Linked DNA regions of Arabidopsis thaliana. The protein of the gene in region 2 interacts with the protein of the main gene of each other region in a pairwise test. Each region holds a gene or a part of one and is shown on either strand. Other genes may lie near its edges.

Region 1 (5,716 bases), on a different chromosome or scaffold from region 2:
TTTTTTATCATAATCACAGTAATTTAAACTAAAAAGTAGTATTTTTTTCTGATAACTCTATCAATAACATTCAATCTAAAAAAAATACGGAACATATAATTTGAATAATCGATCGGTTTAAGATTGCCATTAAGATTGAACATATAATTGCCATTAAGAATTAAGATTGTCATTTTAACAAAAGAAAAATTATAAAAAATTTCTAACATCGGGTCGATAAGACGATAACCCTGATACTAATTTATTGTTAACCGTTCTTATAACCATTGAATATATTTTTTTAAAACAATAAAATAAATTGAAGTAAAGTAACCATTGAAATATTTTTAAAATTGAAGGATTCAGTGACAGGTGATTTATGTTGATCTCACTTTCCATCTTATATTCTTGCTAATTGAATCAGATTTTGAATGTTATGCTCAAAGGTCAAAAGCCTCTTCTCAATATTTACATGCTTGGTTCGATTCTTTTTACATTGTTTAGACAGGAATTGGGGATTTGAGCAAGTAAATTATTAACGATCCTGATGGCAAGCCTGATGATGATCACACAAGTTCAGAATTTTTTTTTAAAAATAGTGTTTTTACAAACAAAATTCCTAACGATTATTTTCATACATTCTGAAACCACAAATTAGAAGAATACTACTAATTGTTCATCATATATGAACAAAATCATTTTCTGGGATCCCTTAAAGCAAAACAGAAGAAAAAGAAATATTGCTAGTCATTTTTCCTAGGGGTGATGGTGTCATACATACTCACCCCAGCAGCATTGGAAGCTCATGCGAATACGGTTCTTCTCCATCTGGTTCACCAGCACAAATTATGTTGTTGTTAGTGATCTTAGTGCATGACAAATAGAAATAAACAAAGGCCGCTGTTCACATTTATTACCGCTTTCGTAATCAGAAGCATCCGTAAGCCTTGCAATGGCAGCAATAAGCGCCTGTTCATGTTCCTATATCATCCAATAACAACAACACCAAGTTTCACTTCACTGTTTCTTTCAATCGATATCTCGTCACAAAGTTCTTATCAATTATCATATCGCTCACCTTGAGTAGCTTCTTGGCCTTATCAAGCTCATGTGGATCAGGAAGGTTTGAATCAAAAACTCTCTCGACCTAATGCGAAAGATTTCGACATCAAAAACCCTTTTTGCCTAAAGAGAAACAAAATGCAGAGAGATAGAGATACCTACCTCTTTCACAAGTGAGTCTGTGTTGAACAATTCAATCTCACCGAAAAACTTCCTCCCACCACCGTTTTCCGTTGCTAAATGTTCTCTTCTTGGCTGAGTTCTTGGACCTCTCCCTCTACCACCATGGCTTAAGGTCCTTCGATTCCCACGAGTTGTTCCACCGCCATGTCCTACATTCAAAGTTACCCCATCTTCCTCTCCATCCCATCTTATATCTTTCGTTGGAATCTACAATTATATAACTAACTAACTTCAGATTCTGCTGAAAATGTTTTCATACTAGGTGGATACACTATACAAATGTTTCCCACGTAATCTTACTAATGAAAGCTACCTCCAAAAACAAATGTAACTTTACCCAAAAGACATTCTTGGCAGCATTTTCCACAAAAAACTTAAAAACCTAATAATATCAAAAACTCGTGAAGATTACCTCATTAAGATCAACCCATTCCCATGTCTCATTCACTGTGTTTATATCATATACCAACGCATGTCGACCCTGCGAGAGAACAATGAATGCATCAATTACAATATACTTAAGCTATGTTCAACGCTAAATACAGTTCCAAACTTCTAGATATATCAAAGTCATAGTATACTTTTCAACGCCTCATATGCACATTAACAGTAAACACCTCCTTTCTTCAATTCATCAAGAACTACACTATAGAGAGACTTGATTAACTAGAGAAGTCTTTCGACAAATGCCTAAACCATGATCCTAGACTAATCCAGAGTACCCCGGCTCATTCTGCCTAAACTTCCTTTTTAACTAGTGAGCTATCTAGCTAAGCGATTCGACTAGTTGCTTAGCTTTCTACACAGTTACAATCAACCTAAAGTAATTGCAATGCTCACTCACTAGAGTAACTCTGAACTATACGGTAAATTTCGATCAGGCTTTGAGGCCTTGGAGTCAGATATTCGAAGTACAGGAGACACCTCGACACACAAACATATATAATGCTGAACATATGAATTTCTGATTCAATCTCAATAAAAAGGTCTCAGCCATCAGAAGTTACCTCATTTGCATTGTATTGTGTAACTACTGCTTCATAAAAGCTGTTGTCTTCAGGCCATTTTGTCCACACTTTTCTTCCAATAAGAGCTTCCGCAGGTTCATTTGCTGATACTACACGGTTATTGAATGACTTACTTCTAGTAGAACCAATCGACGGATACTGCATGTGTATCACAAATGATATGATCAGTAAATAAACAGAAAACCATATGCAAATACAGATATCCTCTGCTTGTTGTTCTATGACCAAAGATTAAAACAAGAAGTCTTACGGATTGGAACGTCTTCTGTTTCTTCCGAGAAGCTGAAAAAGTCGGACTAGGATGAACATCGAGGGACTGATGTCTAACAACCTGGTTTCCACCTCTTGGTCTCGAATCTCTGTTGGTCCAGTTCCATCATACAACACATTATTACAAGATACAACGAAATCTAGATTCATAGCTTTACTATCACAAATGATCAGACTCGTTACCTTATTCTTTTGATAAGATCATCATTATGGACATTGTTCAACAGTTGTCGGTTTTCATCATCAGATATCCTCAATTCTTTACGTAGGTTTGTCATCACGGTTGCTTTATCCTATAAAATGAAACCATATAAGCCAAATCCTTTGTCTTTTGATGGCAAAAGGAAGAAAGAGGACTTACCCAAGAAAATTCATCAGCCTGTGCTTGAAAAGCTCTTAATACAGCAGAATAAGCTTCCTGCTCAAGTATATGAATCTGCGCTTCCATATTAATGTGTAGACCTACCATATACTTTCCATCCAAATGAAACCAACCCTTCTTCTGAAATGTAGAAAACACTTTATAACATCAATAGTTTAACAAACTACTAAATTTTCAGGTACTTCACGAAAAACATTGGCACTAATCAGATTCATGAATAATTTTGACAGTCGAGGTCTCATGAGAATGTAGGAGCTTATTGGTGGACTTATTGTATCAAGAAATTGGATAACTTTAGTTTAAGCGAATATTCGGACAGCAAAAAAAATAGACATGAGATGATCAAACAATCTAATAGAATGTGAAAAGAATATCTTAAACCCTAAGAAAGAGAATAATTTAGTAAAACCCTTTTTTTTAAACTCCAGTGATATTTCAAACCCTAGAACTGTTAGATCTCTCAATGGACAAAAGAGAAATGTCTTAAATCGCTCAAACTAAGTACAAAACAGAAATTATACCTCCTTATTCAGAATCCTGTCGTAAAACAGCAATCTTTATACGAAACCCTTAATTGTCGAAGAGAGAAAGATTGACTCCCAAACGCAGAGGCTATAAAGAGCTGATTGGATCCGAAGTGAGTAATTCGTAGGGAATTGAAGAGAGAAATTGAAAGAATTTGACAAAAAGGAAAGAACTTTTCTAAGTATTGGTAGAGATTGATCTTGATAAAAAGCGGAAGTGCAGTGTTTTGAGCTGGCTGGGCACAGCGTGCGATGAAGAGAGAGAGAAGAGAAGATCGAAGACGGGAAGTTCCAAGTTGGAGGAGAGAGAAACCTTAGTTTGGTCGGAAGCAGCTTAAGACAAGACGATGCGTTTTTGTTTAATTTCATTTTGGGCCTATTTTATGATAACATAGGCCTGTTTGGCCCAAACTGTTAATGAAAATATGAAATGTATGTTTTTTTTAAGGCACCTCTACTGGAGTCTCTAAAGTCTAAACTAAGACTTGTATTTATAATAAATAAAAGTTGGTTTTTATGCTAAAATTGTTTAGAATCAGGCTTGTTAATTTAATGTTTAAATTTTTTATATATCATAAAAAATAAAATTATCTATATATAAGCTCCATTATGCATAAGCTTAAACTATATATGAATATTATTTTTAATTGATATTACATAAAGTTAATAAATAATTTTAAATTAATGTAGTTTTAGTTAATACAATTATATAATTTAGGAAAAACTGAGATTTTGAAAATTAAAATTTACACTTTATAAATTTTATCAACATTTTGATATTTTAAATATAACTTGTTTTATATGTTGTCTAGCATTTTTAAGGTTACACTATCTTAATTTTTTGCATAATGATGTTATTTAAGGAAATATTTTATTTCTGATGGATCTTAGAAAAGTCAGATAAGTAAACTGAAAATCGAAATTGGTCCCGTTGTATACAACCAAAAGAAAACAACAATATCAGAAGATAGTAGCAAAAGAACGTCATAAACCACAAAAGCCAAAGTTACAAAAATCCATTCCATTTGTATCCTCTCTTCTCCTTTTTGGACTGTCGTCTATTCTAGTTTATAAACCACCACCATCAATATCATCATCATTAGACTGTAACACAACAAACACCACACAATCCATATATCCCTATGCTTCCAATACACATTTTCAGATAATTCAAACTATGCATGTGAGGAGTTTCAAAAGAAGAAAAGAAGGAAAAAGTGAAATCACATAAAAAGAAATGAAAGATACAAATTAGGCCCCATCATCATCGTTATCAACCGCTTCTATTCAGGGTTCCTTGGGATCTCCTATATGAATCAACTTTCTCCAACATGAACTTCTCATGGCAATTTGCTATAAACCTATCAGCCAATTTATCAATCTCATTCATCATCGTCTCTGTCTCCTCTTCTTGGCCGTCTTTAACTTTATCCTCTAGCTGTCTTAGATAGCTAGAGAGCTGAGATGGTTCTTGATCATCATCATCGCGACCATCCATGGATTCAGTGGAGTACATTGACTCCCAAGTCGATTCGTGTACGAGATGAGCTAAGTAGAGCTCTTCCGGGAGACGCACTGGCGCAGAGACAGGCACTACGTGAGAGGAGCAAAAGTTGTAGTGAAGTCTGAAGGAGCCGAATAATATATTATTCTTTTGTTTCTTTGAGACTCTCTTTGGATAGAGTAAAGAAGACACTGACAAGAAATTGTATTGCTTCTTTCTCAAGACTCTAACAAGAATGGATGAAACTCTAGATATTTCTCGGAGTAGCCGACAAACTTGAGAAATGATGAGAGTTTGTATTAGGGATTTGAGTTTCATGGAGCTTGAGGTTGGTGAAGAAGAAGATGAACATTGAGAAGAAGACATAGAAGAAGATGTTGATTTGAGTGGCATTGCCATTCTCTCTCTCTTTCTCTTGTTACAAATTAAATCTTTGGTTGGGAAAGGCTTATTTCTAGTTGAACATCAAATATTATGAAGAAGGGTTTGACTGAAATATCCTTATACTTTTGGACTATTTAAAGGGATGCCATTGCCACTCTACTTTGGAGAGTTTAATTGTGGTCGGGGTGGTGTGTGTGAGCCCACTTGATCTGACGTGTTTAACGAATACTAGGAAAATCTCAGATTTGAAAGAAAGAAAGAAGAAGTGACTTTAGATTCAAGTAACTGACACTGATCATTGCTTCTCTGTAGTCTGTACTCTCTTTATTTCAACTACAATTTTCACATCTTTGCTAATTTCTGTCAATCAATAGCTATAATATTACCACTGAATAGATTG
Region 2 (4,769 bases):
GAGCAATCGCTGCTTATCAACAAGATCAAAGACCTTGGTAAGGAGATTCTTAACTCATCCCCAGCTCAAGCCCCGTCTCGAGATTCTTAACTCGTCCCCAGTTCAAGCCCCGTCTCATTCCCCATCTCGATCAGGCTCGGGTTCGGGGACAGGATCCTCCTATAACCGGAGATTACCCGCACCAATGTAGTCACTTGTTTTTCCCGATCAAACAATCATCTATGATGTATATAGATAGATATGTAGGGGCATTGGATAAAATGTTCAGAGAGAGTTGAGCCCTTGTTACAAAGTTAGATACATATGATATGTAACATATCAAATCTGTAAGTTTCTTATTATTCCCTTTGTTATTCTGTAACAATAAAAACTGTTGTAATTGTTTGTAAAACTGTTGTTCTGTGTCTAGGCTGATCAGTCATTTACAGAAGCAAAATAGTTCTTTTGACCTCAAGTGTTATCTAGTCTCCTCAGCACAGTGAGATATTTTTCAGATTAATAATTGGTTAATTTCTCATCCCCACAAATGTTGTAAAGCTAAATGACTCGAGGTAAGATTCCTAACTTGTAAACTTAAGCCTTGAAAAGAATAAATCCACATGATTCGAGCATGTTTGTTCAAAAGAGTAAAAAACCGGTGACCATCAACAGATGATGAATAAACCGGACTAAACCATAAATATTCCATCATACATGAAGGATCAAGTAACATGGCATGATACAGCTTTAGATGACTAATTCATTGTGTGAGAGTACAATGCATATGATCCCAAGTTAACCTCTACTAGTAACTGTGAAAAATGGCTGTTACAAACGGGGATAGAAATTACATGGCCTAGGCTGAACCAGCGGGAACAGTAGCTGCATTGGAGCTAGGCTGAACCAAAGTGGCTGGAGTGGCACTCAGGCTCGGATCTTTTGACTCGGGTGCAACAATGGGAACTGTAGCTCCGGGTAGTGACAGAGGGGTTTTTGCAGCCGCATCTAGAGCGGGTATCTGATGCTGATTTGAGTTAGCCAAATCGTTTACGGCGTTGTGAAGTTGTTGTAGCCTGTAATCTGTCTCGGGCCGCCGACAAATCTTCCTCAAGGGAACGATTTCCTGCTGGGATAACGGAAAAGAAATCCAAAATAGGTGAGTGAGGAGGGTTTTGCTTTATGGTCTAAACCATGAAATGGAGCTGACGGGTAAATAAAACCGCAAGGGATAGAGAGAGAGAGAGAGAGATGATCGTCCAACCTCGGACTGGTCGTGGCTGTAACGCACCAAGAACCTACAACGACAACCTCTGACATCATGTCTTCTTCTCTGTGCGTCAAGAACAATGGCGTCAAAGTAAAGAGCTTGATCTTTTCCTTCCTGAAGATGTTATAACATAGTTCTAGTCAGGGATAAACTAACATGACACCTATCACTAAATGCTTAGAGAGCGAAGTTCTAAACCTGGAAACAAAGGACGAGATCTCCAGCAAGAACTGCAACACATTCTGATGCTTCACATGGGAGAGACCGTTGTCTTACATGCTTTTTGACATTTATCCATTCATCTTCTTCAACTTCGAAACCCGCAAATCGAACCTGCACTTCCTGAAATACCCAACAGAAAGATTGTTGTTAGCAAAACAAAAAAGGGGAACAAATAAGTCAACAAGAGGTTGGTTAGGAATTACCGGATCACCAATCTCCAAGTTTCTATGAGCTAGGAAAGCTTGCACATCATACCTGTAAGTAAGCAAGAGAGTTACATATCAGAGAAAACCAGTGGAATGTAATGATATTGTTACAAAGTATCATAAGTCAGCAAAAAAAATACTGAAGATTGAATGCAAGGGAATCACCATGCACCATCCCTGGCAGATTTGGCTTCAAATTCCAAGTAAGAGTTGTCTGAACCACTCCTCATGACACCGGGAACTATGAGGAAAAGCAGTAAACAGTTACGAAAATGGCATCTGTGCAATATCAGCCATACTGATCTAGACTTATGGAGAAAAAACTAAAACTGAAAAAACCAATGAAACCTATTCCAATAAATAACCTTCTCAACCTATTTTACTGAGAGTAGAATAAATAAAGCACCTAAACTACCAGAAGGGGCAGGCGTCATGCCGGGTAAATTTCCAGTCATATGAGTGGTTTTAGGAACTGATAATGGTTGAATCACACTTCTCATCTGATTTGGTAAATCCATACGCGGCATGGAAGATACATTTAGCTTCCCAGGAGCTTTGTTTCCCCTTGCTCGTAAAGCATATCGCCTATTTTGAAACCAGTTCCAGATCTGTGATGCATTAAAACAACATTCCCATTAACTTTTAAAAGCAAACCCAACAGACTCTGTCTGATAAAACTTAAGAATCAAGAAGGAAAAAGCCAGTACTTGCTTGAACTGCACAACAACTTTCCCCTTCCGCTCAGGTGATTCACTGAGACAACAGATAACAAAAAGTAACCACATTTTAGATGATAAAGACACAAAATCACTTTCAGGCCAAGGAATTGAGCAACAACAAGTAAAATACCTAAACTTATCAGCAAGAGCTTCAAGAATATGTCGACCTGGCATTGCTGTATTATGCTGTAGCAAAATTGCTTCCATCTCCGTTACCTTCATAACAATTGAAGATTAGCTATAACAAACAAGATAAAACCTCTTCAAAAGAAGTCACAAAACCATAGAACAACAGATAGATAGAAAAACTTATGTATTATCAAATCTAAACTCTTAAACATTACTTAATAAAGTAAAGCCAATGGATTTCAGAACATACATCGAATTGTCTTCAAGTTTCTACTAGCTAATTACAAAAATTCAATTGGACTTCAGGATCTAAACCCTATCATGAACCCAAAAAGAAGACCTAAATCCTAAGGAACAAAACCGACACAAAAATCAGATTTTTCAGCTCTGGGAGCTCAAAATCCGTGAAAGCAACACATTACAAAGAATCGAGATAAACCTCAGGCAGGATAAATCGAAACGCCGGACCGCCATTACTGGGAGGTCGACCCATGGTATCTTCTTCGTCTCACCGAAGAAAAAACAAAAATTGGCGGCAGAAAGTGAAATCAATCGGAGCTTCTCTCACTTAATATTCGAATTCACGGTGAATCTCTCTAGTACGGCCGGTGACCCAACGACAACGAAACCGGTTTTACTCAGACCCGACTCCGTCGCTTATATAACTTTTCACCTGTGTAATTTTTTTAAACTTAACATGTAGTAATGGGCTTTTAAAACCCATTAAAGGCCCATTTTCCTAAAACCGATACAAAAATCTTATCCGTATGGTCGAGTAAATCCAGCTTATCCGCCTGAAACTTATTTCTCAGTATCCAAAACGATGGCGAAGAAGACACTTCGCTGAAGCTTTTTTTTCCAAAAAAATTTCTTAGTGTCGTCAATGGCTTTGGCTCCACTTAATTTTACGGAAATGCCACTGAGAAGCTCTCTTCCTCTGACCTCTAGCTCTCGCTATTGTTCCTCTCCTTCGCTTCACGCATTGCTCTTCTATTCGTTGGGTGTGAAACCCTCGCGTCAACAAATTGTTCGGCCATTCTCTTCGCTGCGTACAAGCGAGCGTAGCAACAACAGGAGCAATAACAATCGTCGATTAGATCAACGTAATCATAAACCTACTCCTCCTTGGATAGATAAGTGGCCTCCGTCATCCTCCGGAGCTGGCGGTGATCATGCCGGGAAGAAAGGTGGTGAAAACAACGGCGGAGATAGAATTCGGTCTGCGGAGGAGGAAGCGGAAGCGAAACTTCGGTATTTGGAGAAGGATAAAGGACAAAACGCGATTGAGAGGATTGTTCTTCGGCTACGGAATTTAGGATTAGGTTCGGATGATGAGGACGATGTGGAAGATGACGAGGGAGGTGGAATTAACGGCGGAGATGTGAAGCCGGTGACTGGAGAAGAGAGATTGGGGGATTTGTTGAAGAGAGAGTGGGTGAGACCTGATATGATGCTTGCTGAGGGAGAAGAGAGTGAGGAAGAGGATGAGGTATTATTGCCATGGGAGAAAAATGAGGAAGAGCAGGCGGCGGAGAGAGTAGTAGGAGAAGGAGGAGTGGCGGTGATGCAGAAGAGGAGAGCTAGAGCTCCATCACTGGCGGAGCTCACCGTTGAGGATTCTGAGTTACGGCGGTTAAGGAGGGATGGAATGTATCTGAGGGTTAGGATCAATATACCAAAAGCTGGGCTAACGCAGGCAGTGATGGAGAAGATTTATGATACTTGGAGGAAAGAAGAGCTTGTGAGGCTAAAGTTCCACGAAGTGCTTGCTCGTGACATGAAGACGGCCCATGAGATTGTTGAGGTTCGTTAGTTCTCTTGAATACTTCATTGATTAGAACAGTAGGTTAGCGAAATTTGAGGTGCGAGATTATTCCAAGAGAGAGCGGTTTTCATTATCTATTGGGGATAAGCTTTGCGGAAGTGACATGATCTTTATAGGATAGTAAGAGACTCTGAAGTACCTAAGCTCTGAAATAGAATGGTTATAAAGCTTTTATAATAACAGTAGGAAATTTGTGAAAAACGTTAGATCTTTCTTGGGAACGATTATATAGTTGTGAATAAGGTGAATTTGAGGTGTTGATTAACTAGAGTGGATGGAGCTGAGCATGCTGTTAGAATTCTTTGAGTAACAAGACTGTGCAGGAGATGCATGTCTTAACTTTAGGTTTAAAAAAAAACTGATTGAATTACTCTAATGGGCAGCGTCGAACTGGTGGAATGGTGATATGGAGGGCCGGAAGT

The links. The genes of interacting proteins can lie anywhere in the genome.
Region 1: the proteins of SHH2 (region 2) and EML2 interact in a two-hybrid assay, tested with the Arabidopsis thaliana proteins (one large-scale study listed by BioGRID).

What each region holds. Positions count from the first base shown.
Region 1 is NC_003076.8:2,093,387-2,099,102, forward strand, and holds EML2 (Emsy N Terminus (ENT)/ plant Tudor-like domains-containing protein), read right to left. Parts: upstream 3,854-5,716; 5' UTR 3,426-3,853; intron 3,025-3,425; 5' UTR 2,992-3,024; coding exon 2,884-2,991; intron 2,816-2,883; coding exon 2,706-2,815; intron 2,612-2,705; coding exon 2,503-2,611; intron 2,391-2,502; coding exon 2,232-2,390; intron 1,706-2,231; coding exon 1,637-1,705; intron 1,432-1,636; coding exon 1,204-1,431; intron 1,127-1,203; coding exon 1,058-1,126; intron 961-1,057; coding exon 897-960; intron 808-896; coding exon 761-807; 3' UTR 502-760; downstream 1-501. Other genes in the region: AT5G06790 (cotton fiber protein), read right to left, coding at 4,702-5,331. UniProt on the Arabidopsis thaliana protein: Probably involved in the regulation of chromatin states. Contributes to RPP7-mediated and basal immunity, especially against Hyaloperonospora arabidopsidis isolate Hiks1. Regulates negatively EDM2-dependent floral transition.
Region 2 is NC_003074.8:6,310,167-6,314,935, forward strand, and holds SHH2 (DNA-BINDING TRANSCRIPTION FACTOR 2), read right to left. Parts: upstream 3,241-4,769; 5' UTR 3,016-3,240; coding exon 2,962-3,015; intron 2,610-2,961; coding exon 2,524-2,609; intron 2,428-2,523; coding exon 2,382-2,427; intron 2,283-2,381; coding exon 2,081-2,282; intron 1,916-2,080; coding exon 1,840-1,915; intron 1,724-1,839; coding exon 1,672-1,723; intron 1,589-1,671; coding exon 1,445-1,588; intron 1,361-1,444; coding exon 1,241-1,360; intron 1,106-1,240; coding exon 836-1,105; 3' UTR 553-835; downstream 1-552. Other genes in the region: ATSYTF (C2 domain-containing protein), read left to right, coding at 1-90; EMB1865 (CRS1 / YhbY (CRM) domain-containing protein), read left to right, coding at 3,406-4,326, 4,731-4,769.